Oryzias latipes: one gene and its partner. Each later gene encodes a partner of the first gene's protein in a complex. Links are inferred from orthologs where the notes say so. Each region holds a gene or a part of one and is shown on either strand. Other genes may lie near its edges.

Region 1 (7,901 bases):
ACAAAAATGGCGAGCAATATCGGAGCTATCCATCCGTACCGGTTGGAGCCAGATTCCAGGTCAGATGAGGAAAACAAAGACGTTCATGGATCTATTAGTCTGCAAGTGGATGCATCAGAATGGAGAGGGAGCTGGTTATTTTCTACAACACAAACATCTCCTCCTGATTCACAAATACTAAATAGATTAAATATATTGATGTAAATGTGTTACTTTAGAAATACTTCAAGCTTAATTTTCTTCATCTAGCTCCTCCATCATCAGGAAAATGCCACATAATATGTTAAAACCACCAAAAACCTGATTTTAATTGGAGTGGGTCTTTAACAAAGTTATCCAATAAACTTATAATGCGAGGTAATGTTAAGCACATCCATTCCAAATAATCAAAGTCATGAAACATCTGAAACATCTGTATGGACACAGCCCTTCTCTGAATGAACAAGGACATCCTGTTTTTGAATGTCAGGACTCAGTTTGTCTCCAAACGCGGAAATCTTCAACATTGCTTATTTTCAAGGGCATTTTCCCTGAAAGCGGGCACGATTTTTCTTTCTCCTAAAATTGTGACAGTTTTATGATCTTTAATAGCTGATGTTAGAGAATAAAGAAACTCGTCACTCTAATGAAAGCTTGCAGACGCATAACCTTGTAGCTCGGTGCATTACAAAAAGACTGACGGGTCAGGGAAGTGCACAAACGGCGCCCTCTGTGTGGTTTCTCACCAGGAAGTGAGATGCCTCTGATGAGCACCATGTGAAAGGGGTCCTGGCTGTAGTCAGGGAGGGGCTCGACCGCCCCGTTCAGCGGTGACGCTCTTTCAAACAAAGACCTCAGAGCGGGGAGCTTTCGAGGCGCCACCACAGAAAAGTGGATTCCTCTCTAAAGAAATATACAACATACATTCAATTAAAAACACCATCACTTCACTCTTTATGCTCTAAATTCTCTTGGGGGGTTAAATAGCTCTGCAGTGTACTAACTAGGATTATGAAGAATAATGTTTAGTCTTTATGTAACAAGTCCGAAAAGTCCTACATACATATTTAATAAACGAGTCTATTTGGCAAATTGTAACATTTATTTTTTATCCTTAGCTTCAGAATTATATTTCTAGAAGCCTAAATGTCCCGCAGTTTCTTTGCACATTTCCCTGTTTACATATTTCATCTTTTTTAATTTGTTAATTAGAAGGGGTTCATCTACTTAAATGATGAATACATTTTTTTTCTAGTCCAAAGAAATCGCTCCGTCTGAGGAAAGTTGCTAACGGAATCAACCGACAGCATTTTAAGACAGTTTCAAAATGAAATAAACCGATTTTATCGATAATGGAAAACGCCATTTGGGTTGAGGCGCAGTAGGTTGATGTGCATCACTGCAGACAACACACATGTGACGACGATCATTCCAGTCCAATGTGTGGAAACACTTTGAAATTACTAAAGTCATGTGACCAAACAGTGTCTAGAATGTTCTAATCTTGTTCCCTTTGGATTCTTTGGATGTGGAAAAACAACAGTCGGCTGAACTTTAGGAAACTCAAATGTGAATGGATTTGCCAATAATTCTTGTTTACTTGTTTGTTTGTACTCATATTTAATTGACACTTGATTATCTTGAATATTGACTAAATTGTTTCAGCAAATCCGCAAACTGAGAGGGCAGCTTGGGTTGTTTCTTTAGTTATTTGCTACTTTCACAACCGTTTTCTTTGCTGTCCACTTTTCTTCCCATTGGTTAATCAGCTTCATGAACTCGTACAAAATAAATTTATTTTACTTTGATTCTTTTTAGTTAAAAACAAAAACAAAAAAAAAACACACACAAAACAACGGAATGAACTGCGTCGCATTTATAAGACAGACCCTGTCAACCCATCGGCTCCTCAGAAAGCTTCAGTAGGAAAGTCGCCTCAACAATATTAGAAAGTTTTGCTTTCACAGCCTCATGGATGTGAAAGTCAGTGTAAAAATATTGTAATAGAATGACAGCAATTGAAATTGCATTGAGATTTTCTTCTTTTTGGTTTGTAGTTGTAAAATATTCTTAAAAGAATGCTGTTCAGACAGACTAAACAATTGGTTTGAATGAGAAGATATTAATTCCTATTCAAAAAAATCTATTTCAAATATAATATATTGTGACAATAATTGGAAAAACTGAAGATTTGAAAACAATTCTGGGGAGGGAAATCTTAGGACATCATCGCTTAGACTAGTTAGTTGGACGGTCAATTTGATGGACGGATTAATTCATTGAAAATTCCCCCTTAAATCTGAAATATTCCCATAATAAAAAAGGAGAAATGCCACAACTCATAGAACTGAACAAAATTAAAAACCACAGTAGAAAAACTCACATCTCTGATGATTTTGGCCAGGCTTTCCGCTGTGCATCCGGTGTAGCTGACGCTCTCCACAGCAGGAAGCAGATACGGAGGAGAATTACACAGAAGCACGCAGACCTTATGTGTTTGACCTCTGCAGTGACACACGCAGACAGAAACAAGAACAATGACTGTTAAAAATCCTTCACAGTATGTTTAGAATACTGTAAAAGTCAACATCAGACATTGGAAGTCTACGTTCTCCCCATTTACCGTGAAAAAAACTTGTTTAGACAAAACTTAAAAAGTAGTCAGTGATGTCTTAAGCAGGGATCTGCAACACGAGGCTCCAGAGCCAAACTGCTCCATTCTGGCTCTTTGGTTGTGATAAATATCGTAGCATTGATTTAAATGTAGTTTCTTAGATTTTTGGCTAAAATGCTCCTATAACAATAAAAAATGAAAACGGCCTTATGTTTCTCCCAGAATGCACACATTTCAAACACTCAGCAAATTACATGTGTTCTTAAAAACATTGTAATCCTTTAAGTATGTTTATTATTGGGATATACTTAAAACAAATTATGTTACGCTGCAAAATAATGTTTAATAACTGCCCAGAGGGGGAAAGAGAAAGACATGTATATACTTTTATACATGGCTCTCAGACCATGATATTTATCTTCAGGTTATATTACTAAGCTTGGAAAAGGGCGATGACACACCAAAGTAGACTTATATAAAACAAAAGAAAAAGCCTTTGTTGATTTACATTGTATAACATTTTCTTTGAAGTATATTTACGGCAGCAGATGTGTCTTTATTTTTTTAAAAGTGTCCACTTTTCTCAGGAGGAAAAAACAAATTCATGTGAATTGAATAAAATGCTATCATTTATTTTTTCCCTATTGTTTTTATTTAAGTCAAAATAGCTTAATTAATATATATATATCAAAAAAAGAAAGCAACAAATACAAAGGAGTTTTGAATTTTTCTAGAGGGTGAAACAAGACTTCGGAGCTGCTGCTGTTTTTGTCAATGGGAAACTGGCCTGAATGGCTTTTTTAGTGTTAAAGGTTGCAGACCCTGGTTTAAACAAAAGTTAGGGAGCTAAAATGTACTTTAACTTTTATTTTAATAAACACAGAACAATGTTTTAAACATCTTAGACGAAATGATACCTTACATTTGCTCCCTCATTTTTTTAAAGTCGTCAAAGAGCTGCAAGGCCACAGAAAGGCCTTCTGCAATCAGGCTGCAGCTTTCTGCTCCACCACCCATGAACCTGCAGGAAAACACCCATCACATCTTTCAAGAAATTCATGGGAGTTTTAGACAAGATCCCTATCTGCTTTTTTAATAAATGTAGCCAAGTTACTGGATGCTGTCGATCCATGAAACAAACTCGTAGGCAGAGCTGGTTGGTGCGTGACACTGAACGTAGGATTCAGGAGCACAGTCCACTGTGTTGAACACCACCAGACCATACTGTGTTCCACCATACTAGGAAGAAAAACAGATGTCACTTATTATTACAAAACGGGACTAAAATAGTTTAAAAAACTGAAATACTAACAAAAACAGAAATTACACTCACGTCTCCACCAAAATCTGTTTCTGCTGGGGGCCCTCCATTAAAATATCTAGAAAAAAAGAAATAAGATATTTACTGTTTTAATGTATGAGCAGCTCACTCTGTAAAGTCTGCACATCTTCTGCTTCTTACTCAATAGCTGGAAGGATGTAGTTTTTTCTCAGTGATTCAAAGTACGGTCCCAGGTTTGCCGTCCCTTCGATGACAAAAACCACATCGGCCACCTGGTTGGAGCCAGGTTTACTGGGCGGCTCCATGTCCACAACCTGGACGTGTGGGAGACACGGGAAAAGGGGAAATAAGGGTGGTATCATGGAGCAAAACACACAAAATACTTTATTTTCCTCTACAGGCGGTACTTGGTGAAATATTAATATATAAACATGTGTGATGATTATTTCAATGAAATTCAAGCTTTGAAATGTCACAATTAATGGATTCTCTAACCATCAGACAGAGTGAGCATCTAAAATGTTTCTCTTCATCACATCTTCATTATGTGTTAACTTGAAATAAAACGTCATGATTTGGCATATTGTAAACAATTTAAAAACGGAGAGCAGGAACAAACAAACAAAGCCGTGTGTGTGTACCGTTTGTTTAAAATGTCTCTCTAGCTTAAAACATGACAACGAATAATCTAACAATTCAACTATGATTATTATTAATTACGCGTTTATGTAACTGAGGCAGTTTATGAAAAGGAAACCACCGGCTGTAAACATTAGCCGGCTTAGCAAGCATGGAAAAAAGACTAAATAAATAATACGACTGGAAAAGCCTTTACTGTAATTCAAGAAGAAATGAGACACAACTAACCTGATAGTGAACACCTATTATTCCTTAAATATGAGATTTACTAAACCGAAATATAGGCAGTTGTTTACAAAAAAAAATTAAACCATAGCACAAAACCGCATATACGTTTGTTTTATTTTACAAGGAAGTGACGCAATGAAAATTCAATGGAGACGCTTCCTCTTCGTTGAATATAATGTGCAGATAGGATGTCTCTGAGCGCACTGCTGCCCCCTAGCGTTGAGTCATTCCTAGTGAAACAGCACTGTGGTAATAAATAAATAAAATATAAATAAATTAATAATAATAATAGTAATAATAATAAAATGAAAATCCCATGTAAAAGAGACCAAATTGCGCTTTATTTTCAATCATTTGGTAACAACGAGGTGTTGCTGAAATAACTGGTAAAAACAATAAAGTTCTTTTTTGGCGTAATAATAAGAGAAGCTATTTGTTAATAGATTTTAAAGTTATTATTCCAGATTTTTATTTTAGGTAATGTGTAAGTCAAACCAGTAAAGTCCTCTATGTTCATTTTCACCATATATCAGTGATAAATGAGATTTTTGAAGTCATAACCATTTTAATGTCTTTTCAACAGCAGGTAACTATGAAGTTCACTATAATGCGAATAAAACCTTTAGATTCAGATTAGCCAGCTACATACATTTAAGCTTCAATTGGACCAATTAATGCTTAGAGTTTTCAGCTCTGAATTCAGTTCAAACCTTATAACCAAATGCATTTCAATAAAGTGGTTACCTTTTGGAATAGTCAGAAGAAATATGTGCTTCTGGATGAGCCTAAAACAATAAAAACATTGGAGGCAGAATGAGCAGAGGACCAACAGGAAGTTCCAAAATTAATTAATTTTGATGTTTTCCAATTAATTAACTGCATTGTGAAATAATAGGTACAATCTGTCTTCAGAATTATGAAAAACAAACAGTTGTTTTTCACATTTGTTGAGGATTTTATTTCAGATGTGAAACAGAGCCGGATGCAGAAAAAATCCAGATGTTGATGATCCACATCTCCAGGAGATGTCAGCAGATCTCCACAGTGCAAAGAGAGAAGACATCAGAATTACAGTGGAGAAGATGCAAGCGTGCATTTGATACTAGCTCTAATGATGTCTGCAAAAGAAAATTCAGATTTTTTGTTTGTTTTTGTTTTTGCATCTTGTTTAAATATGTAAATTTACAGGCCAAACTTGGTGTTCTGCTCCACACGCTTTTGAGCTTTTGTTATACAGATTTTTTCTTTTTTCAAAAGTGTAATTTGATTTTGGTTACTTAACAAAAAAAGGAGTTTATTTACACCAAGCTTGATTAATGTTGTTAAAAAGTGAGCTCAGGCAGACAAGAAACAGGCCTGTAGAAAAATGCCAGACATTTAAGGATAAAACTTATTCCTGCCCATGTGTTTTTGTACCGAGAAAGGTAAAATTTAATGACCTGTTTGTGGTAGAACTTGTGTCTTTAACACATTGATGTAGTTTGTGTGGTCGGTTTAATGGCTTCCGCTCCCTTGTGACAAAAGCCAGTAAGCTGAACGTTCAGCTTAGAGGCTTCAGAGCTCATCAAACTCAAAACCCTCCCACAGACACAATGATCCATATCAATTCAGCCCAAATTCTGAGAAGGAAAACAAGCTGTGCGCCCAAGCAGCTTCGCCTTTTGGGTGTCAAAAAGCAGGGCTGCTTATGGCGGCTTAAGTAAAGTTGATCTGGAGAGGGTTTAAGCCCGTGGCTATCCACGACCTGCAAACATTTAGCTCCCCACGGATCTTTTATCCTGACAGTGAAACATGGCCAAATTAAAGTGGCAGGAAGGATTGCATGCACAGGAAGCTCTTTACTTTGCAGCTCTGATGCTTTTCTTGGAGACATTTTGTGCTTATTGTTGTCTTAAACTTTAGCACACACATGGCAAGCAGTTGCCAAGCAATTACAGAGCGCCGGCTCTCTGGGTGTGCCTTTAGAAAGACACACACTGCTTCCTTTTTTCCCCGTTGTTGGTCAGAAATCAATAATCTGAATGCAGAAATGTGGTTCTTTAAAACTCCACGTCTGCAGGCGGCTTTGATAAGACAATCTGTCTCCTGACCATTTTACCTGACCTACTGGGACTCTGGGCCAGATGGTCTTCTCACAACAGGTAATCACAGGCTGCTTGCTGATGCACTTTGATCCGCACAAATGGGTAAGCACAACAAAGCACACCTTTTGGGAACCGTAAGCCCCACTGCCATCAGCAGCAGCTGTTTTTCTAATTTATACGACATTTTTTCCCCGTTATTTATATGAAATTCCTAAAATCCCTGCCCAAGTCTTTCTTTGTGTGTAAAACACCCTTCAGAATAAAAGCACAACAACAATATAACAAAAGTATGAGTTCACAACCGTTTTCTTTGCTGTCTACTTTGCTGTCTTTATATAGAATACCAAGTAATTACTAAGTAATTTCATTATTGCAATTGTCAGAAAATTCAGAATCTTAAATATAGTTCTCAACCTATTGGAACACTTAACATTTGTGGTTTATTTTGAAAGAAATGAAAAAGGTGCAGCTCAAGTTTGCAGATCTGCTTATAAAGTACATGTCAAACACCAGAAACCAAATGTTCCAGGCACTAAAGTGGAGAGGAAAATGGAAATGTAAAAAAACCCAAAATCAAACAAAAAATCTTCTTATATGGATGGATTATATTTGTAGTCTTTTTAAAAAAATATGAACAGTGTGTATCAGAGAATTCTAGACTCTCATTTTTTTTTTTTGATTCCATCAGAGTTACTAAATAAAATCAAACTAACAAAAAGAGTCTGGACTTGAACAGAACGCAGAAACCAAACTGAATGCATGAAAAGCAACAGGAATTCAAACAAGATGATCATTTACCAATACACAAAATGATAACTTCAAGAGAAGGCTGAAAACTGTAAAATCATGGAGTGCTTTCAATTATTTACAGGCTCATTCTGCTTTTTGACCTACTTTTTGTTGAATTTGATAGATCTGTTGTGTTGGAATCGTTCTGAATTCTAGTGAGGACAAAAATGTTTGTATCACGACCTAAGAATAACAAGGGCTGAGAGGTTTGGTGTGATTTTCGAGGAGCAAAATTGATTTTTTAATCTCACCTGAGACTAGTTCAGCGAGTTGATGCCAAGTTGTT
Region 2 (7,933 bases), on another chromosome or scaffold:
AACAGAGAGGTGGAGGAGGTCACAGTGTGAGTTTTTGTTATGGACCCCTAGAAAACTTTAACACTGTCTCTAATCAACAACAGATTGCTGTGAGACTGATGAGTGTACAGTGTTTTGAATTGACAGTTTTTTTTTCTAATGGATTTTCATTGAGCTCTCTGGTCTGGTTTTCATGTGTATCATCTTATATGGCTGATTACTATAGACTACATATATTTATACCTATTGTGTTTCATTTTGATTTTTTTTTCTCTCCAATGTATTATGACAACTGTTTTTTTTGTAGCACTTCAACCAGCTGTTTTTAACTTAAAGATTGCCTAAAGACTGCTGTTGAAATGTACAGGTCTGCCATTACGTAATCAACTTTTTATATTTGTACAGGATGGGACAGTGATTTATCTTCAGTCATTCTCCTGCTTCACCTGATTTCTCCAACAGCCAGGGGAGCAAAAGGCCAGGCAAGGTTTCCGCATCTCAAGCTGAGAAACATCTTGTCTTCAAGAAGGTTGGTATTAAAGTTAATTAGTATATTGTCGTGTGCTTTCTTTCCTCACTCCCTTCTGAGACAGGTGGGGTGATCAGAAATTTGCTTGGGTAGTTTGAGGAAAATGCGCTTGTTTTTCCTGATCATAATATTTAAGCATAATTAAATAAAGTTAATTGGTTGAATGCATTAATTTATTCAACCCATTGTTTTCCTGTTTCTCTTTCTTTATTCTAGTATCTTCCGACGTTTTTTGGTACTTAACTCCTACAATTTTTCCGCTATTTTAACCATTCAACTATTAAAATGTTCACATCTTTCAGCTTTGAACATTTCAACTATTCAACTATTAAAATGTTCAAATCTTTCAGCTTTTTCCTGTTATGACTTTTGGTCTTTCAAATCTTTGAACTTTTCTTTGCTTCTTTCTTTGGTGCAGAAGCTTGCGGGTTCGATACCCGGCTCTGGCATTTTTCATAAAAAGATCTTTTTTGTTATTGTGTCGTTTTCACTTTTATTGTGGTCAACTTTGATCATTTCCTTCTTTTTTTGACAATTATTCCCCTTTAAGTTCAATTTTTATCCTTGAAATGCAGCTCCTTGGAATTGTTATTGTTTGATCTTTTTCATCTTCAGAGTGGAACAAGCGTTCAAGAACCTGTTGATGACATCGACAGCTCCACTCAACCCTATCTGCTTGCAATTGGTACAAAGAAGGGCACAGTCCAGGATTTGGTAAATGGCGTATACTTATATAGCGCCTTTCTTCCTACAAGGACAAAGCGCTTTACAGTCACAGACCCATTCACCCAGTCACACGCACATTCACACACACATTCACACACTGGTGGCGGCTCCGCTGCCAAACACAGGCGCCCGCCTACCCCCAGAGGCAAGGTGGGGTTCAGTGTCTTGCCCAAGGACACTTCGACTCATGGGCGTGCAAGGCGGGAATCGAACCTGCAATATTACGATCATGGGTCGACCGCCCTACCGCTGCACCACGGCCGCCCTTTCTACATTTCTACATCGTTCTGGACAAGCAGGTAATTCCGTGCAAGTCAACCATTTAACTTGGAGCTTTTGATTAACTCTTTAAAGTACATTTTGTTTTTGGTACCTGTACAGCAGGGGTCACCAACCTTTTTGAGACTGAGGGCTATTTCATGGGCACTAAGTGGTCTGAAGGGCGCCACAGGACCTGTTTGCTAAAAATTTCCTAGCCCCTCCCCACACACACACACAAACACAATTTGACGACATCCTTTTGTGTGCCCCATTTTTATTCGCTAATTTTACACACAAAAATGCATGACTTTTCTAGACTCATATTACAGGGGGGTCAAACTCAGTTGCAGAGGGGGCCTAAATCCAAAACACACTTCGTAATTGGAAATAAGATCAGAAACTCGTGCGTTTACTTTGTTCGTTATTTTTCTCCAAGCAGAAACTCTTTCTTTTGCTTTCTTTGGGGTGCAAATTCTGAGGTTTTTACTTTCAGAGTTTTAATGAGCCTGAGGTTTTAACAGCTCCATCACACCTTTTCTATGTTCACCCTCTAGCATTTCCTTTGCTTTGCACTTGCTGTGTTTTCAGAAGACGGACAAGTGTGAGTAATAATCCTTTACATTTTCCACAAATCATAAAGTGACTAATCATTTACTAATCATTTTCCACTAATCATTATTTCTTTATTTGCAGGTGGAAGAAGAACCCTCCATTGTTTATTCCTTAATTGCCTTTAGAACCCCTGCAAAGACCAATGGCCGTGAATTAGCCCACAATGAAACCATTTACAGTGAAATAAAATTCACAAAAAGCAGTTTGGATAGGTTGAGCAGGTAATTGTTGCGATATTTTAGCAGTTCTGAAGTTGCCTTAACATGGATTCTGTTTTGTGAGTTGAAGTAAACTTCACCCTACAAGGTCCAAAATGGAAACCCTTAGAAGGGTTTTTTCCATTGTGTCAGAAAATGAATAACTGCTTGCTAATTATCTTTATGAAATATAGCATTGCTTTGTGTCTGTACCTGATACTGTCAGCAAGTGCTTTGAAAACAGAAAACAAGTTCCTTTAAATTATTCTGAACCATTATTTTTTCTGACACAAATTTTGTTAAATATTTTTTCTTTAAAGGCTTCGGAATCCGTCAAAACACAGTTTTTATATCTTTATTATTTTATGTGTAAAATATGCATCTGATGGAATGTTTGTCATTTACTTTAAAAGGTTAAGCACAAATCTTAAAAAAGTTTGTGAACCTCAATCAGCCAAAAACTATAGCAGCATGTCTGAATTTTAAATGTTTTATTCAATGTTTTAAAAAGAAAATATTTAACAAAAACTAATTGTAAAAATATTGTAATTGTTGTGAAGACAGCATCTGAGTTTTAAAAAAAAGGCCCACAGAGCTAGGCTTTTATTTTTTTATGTGCCAGCAATTACTATTACAACATTTTCGGTATGAAATCTACATATATATTTTTATTATTTTTAAATATGTGCAAGGTTTTCAAATACATTTAGTTACTTATCTGCACTGATAATAGTTTCAATTTTTAGAGCACGTTTTGGTTTGTGAGTGTTTTTGTAAATCAAATGACTTGAAGTTGATTTTTAAAAAAATGTTATTTATGGATTGTATTTTTAAAGTAACCCCTGTTTGGGTTACTGTAATTGATCCTTTTTCTACATTGCTAAAATTTAAGTTCAATAAGTGTATTCAACGTGTACTTATTGTTTTATCATTTGCCTAAATACCTGTTTGCGCGGAAAAAGCTAACACAGAAAGTTGCTTCCATGAATGGTTATATTCCGGGGTTTCAGTAGGTGGCAGTAACGAGCTTTAAACTGGATTGAAAGCGCCTTTTAAAAACAAAAGCCAAGGAAGAACTTGGGCGCCTTTGTTTTCTGATTAGCATCAAATTTTGGTTGTTTTTAGAACGGGTTACAATATATATTTCATTAACACTTTTTTTATTTTTTAAGTTAAGTACGAATGCCTTAAATTACTTTGTTGATGACAGTAACAGCTCAAATCGTGAGTTGGTAATTCCATGTAGGCTAACTGTTAACTGGTACTAGCAGCCGTGTGGATATTAGCTAACCGGTGAAACAGGGGGCCCACCGTGGAAACCAACCACAAACAGCAAAAATATCTTAACTTTAGTCAGTTCTAACGCTGCGCCGAACTCTTTATTCTGCTCAGGTAAACCATCTTACTCTGTAGTGAGAAACGTCTACTGCTTTTGCTAGTTAGCATAAGCCTGCTATTGGTAGTTGTATTTGTTCGCTAATTTAGCTAACAACTGTTTTCTGTTTACTCATTCATTCATTGGTAATGTCACTCACATGTATCATCAAACAACTGCAAATGAAATAGAGTAGTCCAACAACACTTTGCAAAAAGTAGCCTATTTAGTTTACTACATGTATAATTGGCTAGTGGGACGATATACTTGAAGTAAACTTTTAAACACAATCTAGTATTGCTAAATTCAAAACATAAAATGTTCCAATTTAGTCTGAAGAAGTTTTCAGTCAGTTAATACTTCTTTCACAATATACACATGGTCTATCGTACACTTGTACTTATTCTCACGTGTCCTCAATGAAATAAACTTCAAGTGTAGTACTTTTTGCTAAGTGAATGACAATGCCATCATTCACTATTACTTTAAATCAGGAAGAAGATGGAAGCTCCTCCTGTCACAGTTATGCCCGTCACCGGCGGTGCCATCAACATGATGGAATATCTGTTACAAGGTGAGACGATTCAGATATAGAAGGTTCAACCAGAGATATAGAGGCTTGATATATTTACAGATAAAACGGTGTATTTTTCCAGAATACATATATTAGAAGCCAGTATGAAGTTCACTGGCTAAATTATTTGAAAAATAATGTTTACATCTTCATTCTGTTGCTAAAACCAACTTCTATCCATTAATATTAGTCTTTAAAAAAAAACTATTAAGTTGAGCTAATTATTTTTCCATCATGAGTGTTGGTGTAGCATTAAAGAGCAAACCACACTGTCAAGAGTGTGGAAAGAGTGCTCAGTTACTTTCTGTCTTGAAAATAATATATATTTCTAAGGTTTTCCTGTCCTGTTTGTGCTGCACTTTACTGGACACATTTGTATTTAGTAAACTGAAGTATTTAAGATTATATAGATGCATAAAGATTTATGGAAAAATAATCCTCAAGTCAGGAAAGCTTTTTTTAAATTTTTTTATTCATGAAACCTGTTATTCATGTTTTCATCACATCTGAAGTGTTTATTGAAACTGTGTTTGTAAAAAAAAGAGATCTAAAACGAACACTAATTTTAACATTGAACATTTTTTAATTTCATGATGGAGGATTATATGTTTAATATTCATTTTTAAAAAGTTGTATCACAGCAGGAAATAATTATAGTGGGAGTAAAGAACTTACTATATGAGTCTTTAAAGGATATTCTATTTTCTCGTTTTTTTCAGGCAGTGTTTTGGATCAGGCTCTGGAAAGCCTCCTGCATCGCCTGCGTGGTCTCTGTGACAACATGGAACCAGAGACTTTCACCGACCACGAGCTGGTTTACCTTTTGAAAGGCCAGCAAGGCAACCCCTTCATTCTGCGTGCCAGACGCTCCCTCTCCCACCCTACTTCTCCATGGCACCTGCGGTATCTAGGCCAGCCAGAAGTGGGAGACAAGAGCCGCCATGCTCTGGTTCGCAACTGTGTCGATGTAGCTGCCTCTCAAAGCCTTCCGGAGTTCCTCAATGAGATGGGCTTTCGCATGGACCATGAGTTTGTGGCCAGTGGTCACATATTTCGCAAAGGAGCAATGAAAGTTGTGGTTAGCAAGGTTTCACGCATCCTAGTACCAGGGAACACGGAAAATACAGAGCGAATGTCGCTGTCGTATTTAGTGGAACTGAGCATTTTGGCTCCGGCCGGACAGGACACCGTGTCAGAAGACATGCGCAGCTTTGCCGAGCAGCTCAAACCTCTGATTCATCTGGAGAAGATTGACCCAAGCAAGCAGAGACATTAAGCATTAATGGAAAAAAATGTTTTTGTTATTGTTTTCCTTTCCATTTAAATGCTTTTTAATGTGATGAAATACAGATTTACTTTGCTTAAACTGTTACAGTTGTGGTTAATCTGACCTGTCAGAGTATTTTTTTAATTTATTTTTTACTTTTTGTGCCTACTATAAAGAAAATATTATAGTAACAAATAGCTGGAAAATACTTAAATATATTTTAAGTTGACAAACATTTTGCAATGCCTCAGATGGCTTATGTTATTGCTTTAAAAATTTTTTTTTAAATCTTCAATTTCATTTTTTTATATAATAAATGTCCACCAGGGGTCTCTCTTTCCACAAGGATGGTCTTAATTGGAGCAAAGTGAACGCTACCTCTCATCATCTACAGGAGCTCTGGTTGCCATGGAAATAATTAGCTGTGCGATCTGCACATCGTTTACCCCACTCTAATTAGCTTTCTCAATTGCTTAATGATACATAGACCTGTGAAAGCCTTTCTTTCTTCCTTTCCACAAAAGCATTGATTTTCCCTCTCTTCCCCTTTCATTTCTACTGTTAACCCATTAGTATCCTTTCTTTTTTTCATGGGAACTTGAGCTGGGACTATTACAAGTGAAAGCACTATGGTTGCCTTAGGTCCTTCATTGCTCATGTTGAAATTGGAAAAAGGGGGTTGTATATTAGTGTGTCAACATGGCCAAGCTACTGCAGAGGCGGAAGTAACTAATGCACATCCTGTCAGTTATGATAATAATGTTGGCAAAAAGACAAGATTGTTTCTAATAATACCCTTGCAGGAAGATGCATTTGCTGGAGTTGAGATGTAGAGTGACCATGTGCATGTCTGAGCGGACAGCTCCGGGGCTGATGCCTGTCTCTGCATGTTGACCTACCTGCATTTCAAGGCTGATGAGGACAAGCTCACTGAGGTGGAAAGGTGAGGTGGCATTGCTTCCACATGCGTTTAGAGCACACTGAAAGAAAGCCGCACTTTTGAACCTCCAGTACCCTAATCCCCCTTTTTAAAAAAAAAAAAAAAAAAAACTTTAACTTATAGTGACCATTTTAGTCTGAGCATCATTTAGTTGAATATCTGACAAAGATGGCAGACAAAAGTTAGCGTCAGAGTAAATTATCTATTGATGTTCCAACAACCACAAACAGACTACTGGCTCCAAGGACTGGAGCATAGTTTTTCAGCTCTGAGTGAATTATATATTAAAGAGGGAGATGCCTCCTTGCCTAAGGCTTGATATGTCCAGCATGGATACACTACAGTCTACTGGCTTTCTTCCACTTAAACTTGTGTTTAGCACAGTGCTCTTTTGTGAGTCCCTCTACACCTCCACGTTGCCTAGAGAGCAGAAGCATAGCTAGGATAATCAGCATCTTGGCATCAGGCCTACATGGTTTTGTGGATGTTGCCAGCCACATAAGTAAAGGATTTAACTCTTTGCAGAAGACCATATGCAAGTTGGTCCACCAAAAATATATTTTTGTCATACCAGCTCTTTATTTTCATCTTAGTTTCCCATCATTTGTTGTTCTTTTAGCTGATCAGATTTGATATTTCGCTCTTGAAAAGTGAGAATAAATTTCAAGAAAACCACCTTTATGTATTGAATACGTTGACAGCATTTGTTTGCATCATTATGTTGCAGAGTAGATGGCATTACTGTACATGCATGTTTTTATTGTTTTGTCGTACAGAATTTGTACAGAAATATTAGAGCCACCATGTGTTTTGACATCTTTTTTTCTACAGTTAATCCTGCTTCCGTTGTGGGAATGAGAGACGTTGCACATTGGTTTCCCTCTCTGGGCCATTTGGTTGCTCTGCATTTTTAGCTGTTGCTTTAATTAATTGGCTAAGGCAGATAGCGTTAATCATATTGTGTTAGACCTTCGAATGGGAATGGAAGTCATTACCTGCACATGCCTATATTTCCCATTTTACAAAACAGTCTTAATTAAAACTCTTGGCACCCATCTTCTCCTTGCTTCTGAACATAATGTTCATAGTTGCAGATGCCAAGATGCCGTAGAAAGTTGGCAGTTGCTCCAGGGAGGAAGTCTTTAAGTCAGATTTCTTTGGGCCAATGCCACAGAGGGGCTGAAATCAAGCTTCACCTCCAGAGTCCATTGTTGCGAAAGCGAAGAATTGAGCCTTCTTCCTGTGTAATTGGGAACCCTTGGTCTTGTTAGACAGCGTGGGTTGTGCGCTGGGAGGGGAGGAGCTTTTGCAGGCAGACATCCTTTCCCAAGGGTGTCCTTGTGGTTTCTCAGGATACTTTAGAAGACAATGGCTCACAGAGACACATTTGAAAGAATATTAAGTTTGTGACCAAAGGAATCAGGATGGGCCTTACAAAAAAAAAGCCCCTGTTCTTTGAACAAGATTCCAACA

Evidence for each region. Proteins that work in one complex are often made in the same cells at the same time.
Region 2: med25 (region 1) and med18 share a complex: the UniProt entries of both Homo sapiens proteins name them as parts of the mediator complex. The link is inferred for Oryzias latipes from reciprocal best matches to the Homo sapiens genes MED25 and MED18.

Annotation. Positions count from the first base shown.
Region 1 is NC_019866.2:3,603,458-3,611,358, forward strand, and holds the start of med25 (mediator of RNA polymerase II transcription subunit 25), read right to left. Parts: upstream 4,889-7,901; 5' UTR 4,743-4,888; intron 4,190-4,742; 5' UTR 4,181-4,189; coding exon 4,056-4,180; intron 3,973-4,055; coding exon 3,927-3,972; intron 3,833-3,926; coding exon 3,708-3,832; intron 3,615-3,707; coding exon 3,516-3,614; intron 2,484-3,515; coding exon 2,363-2,483; intron 883-2,362; coding exon 726-882; intron 1-725. UniProt on the Homo sapiens protein: Component of the Mediator complex, a coactivator involved in the regulated transcription of nearly all RNA polymerase II-dependent genes.
Region 2 is NC_019874.2:22,762,401-22,770,333, reverse strand, and holds med18 (mediator of RNA polymerase II transcription subunit 18), read left to right. Parts: upstream 1-3,339; 5' UTR 3,340-3,696; intron 3,697-4,173; 5' UTR 4,174-4,180; coding exon 4,181-4,253; intron 4,254-4,972; coding exon 4,973-5,529; 3' UTR 5,530-5,638; downstream 5,639-7,933. UniProt on the Homo sapiens protein: Component of the Mediator complex, a coactivator involved in the regulated transcription of nearly all RNA polymerase II-dependent genes.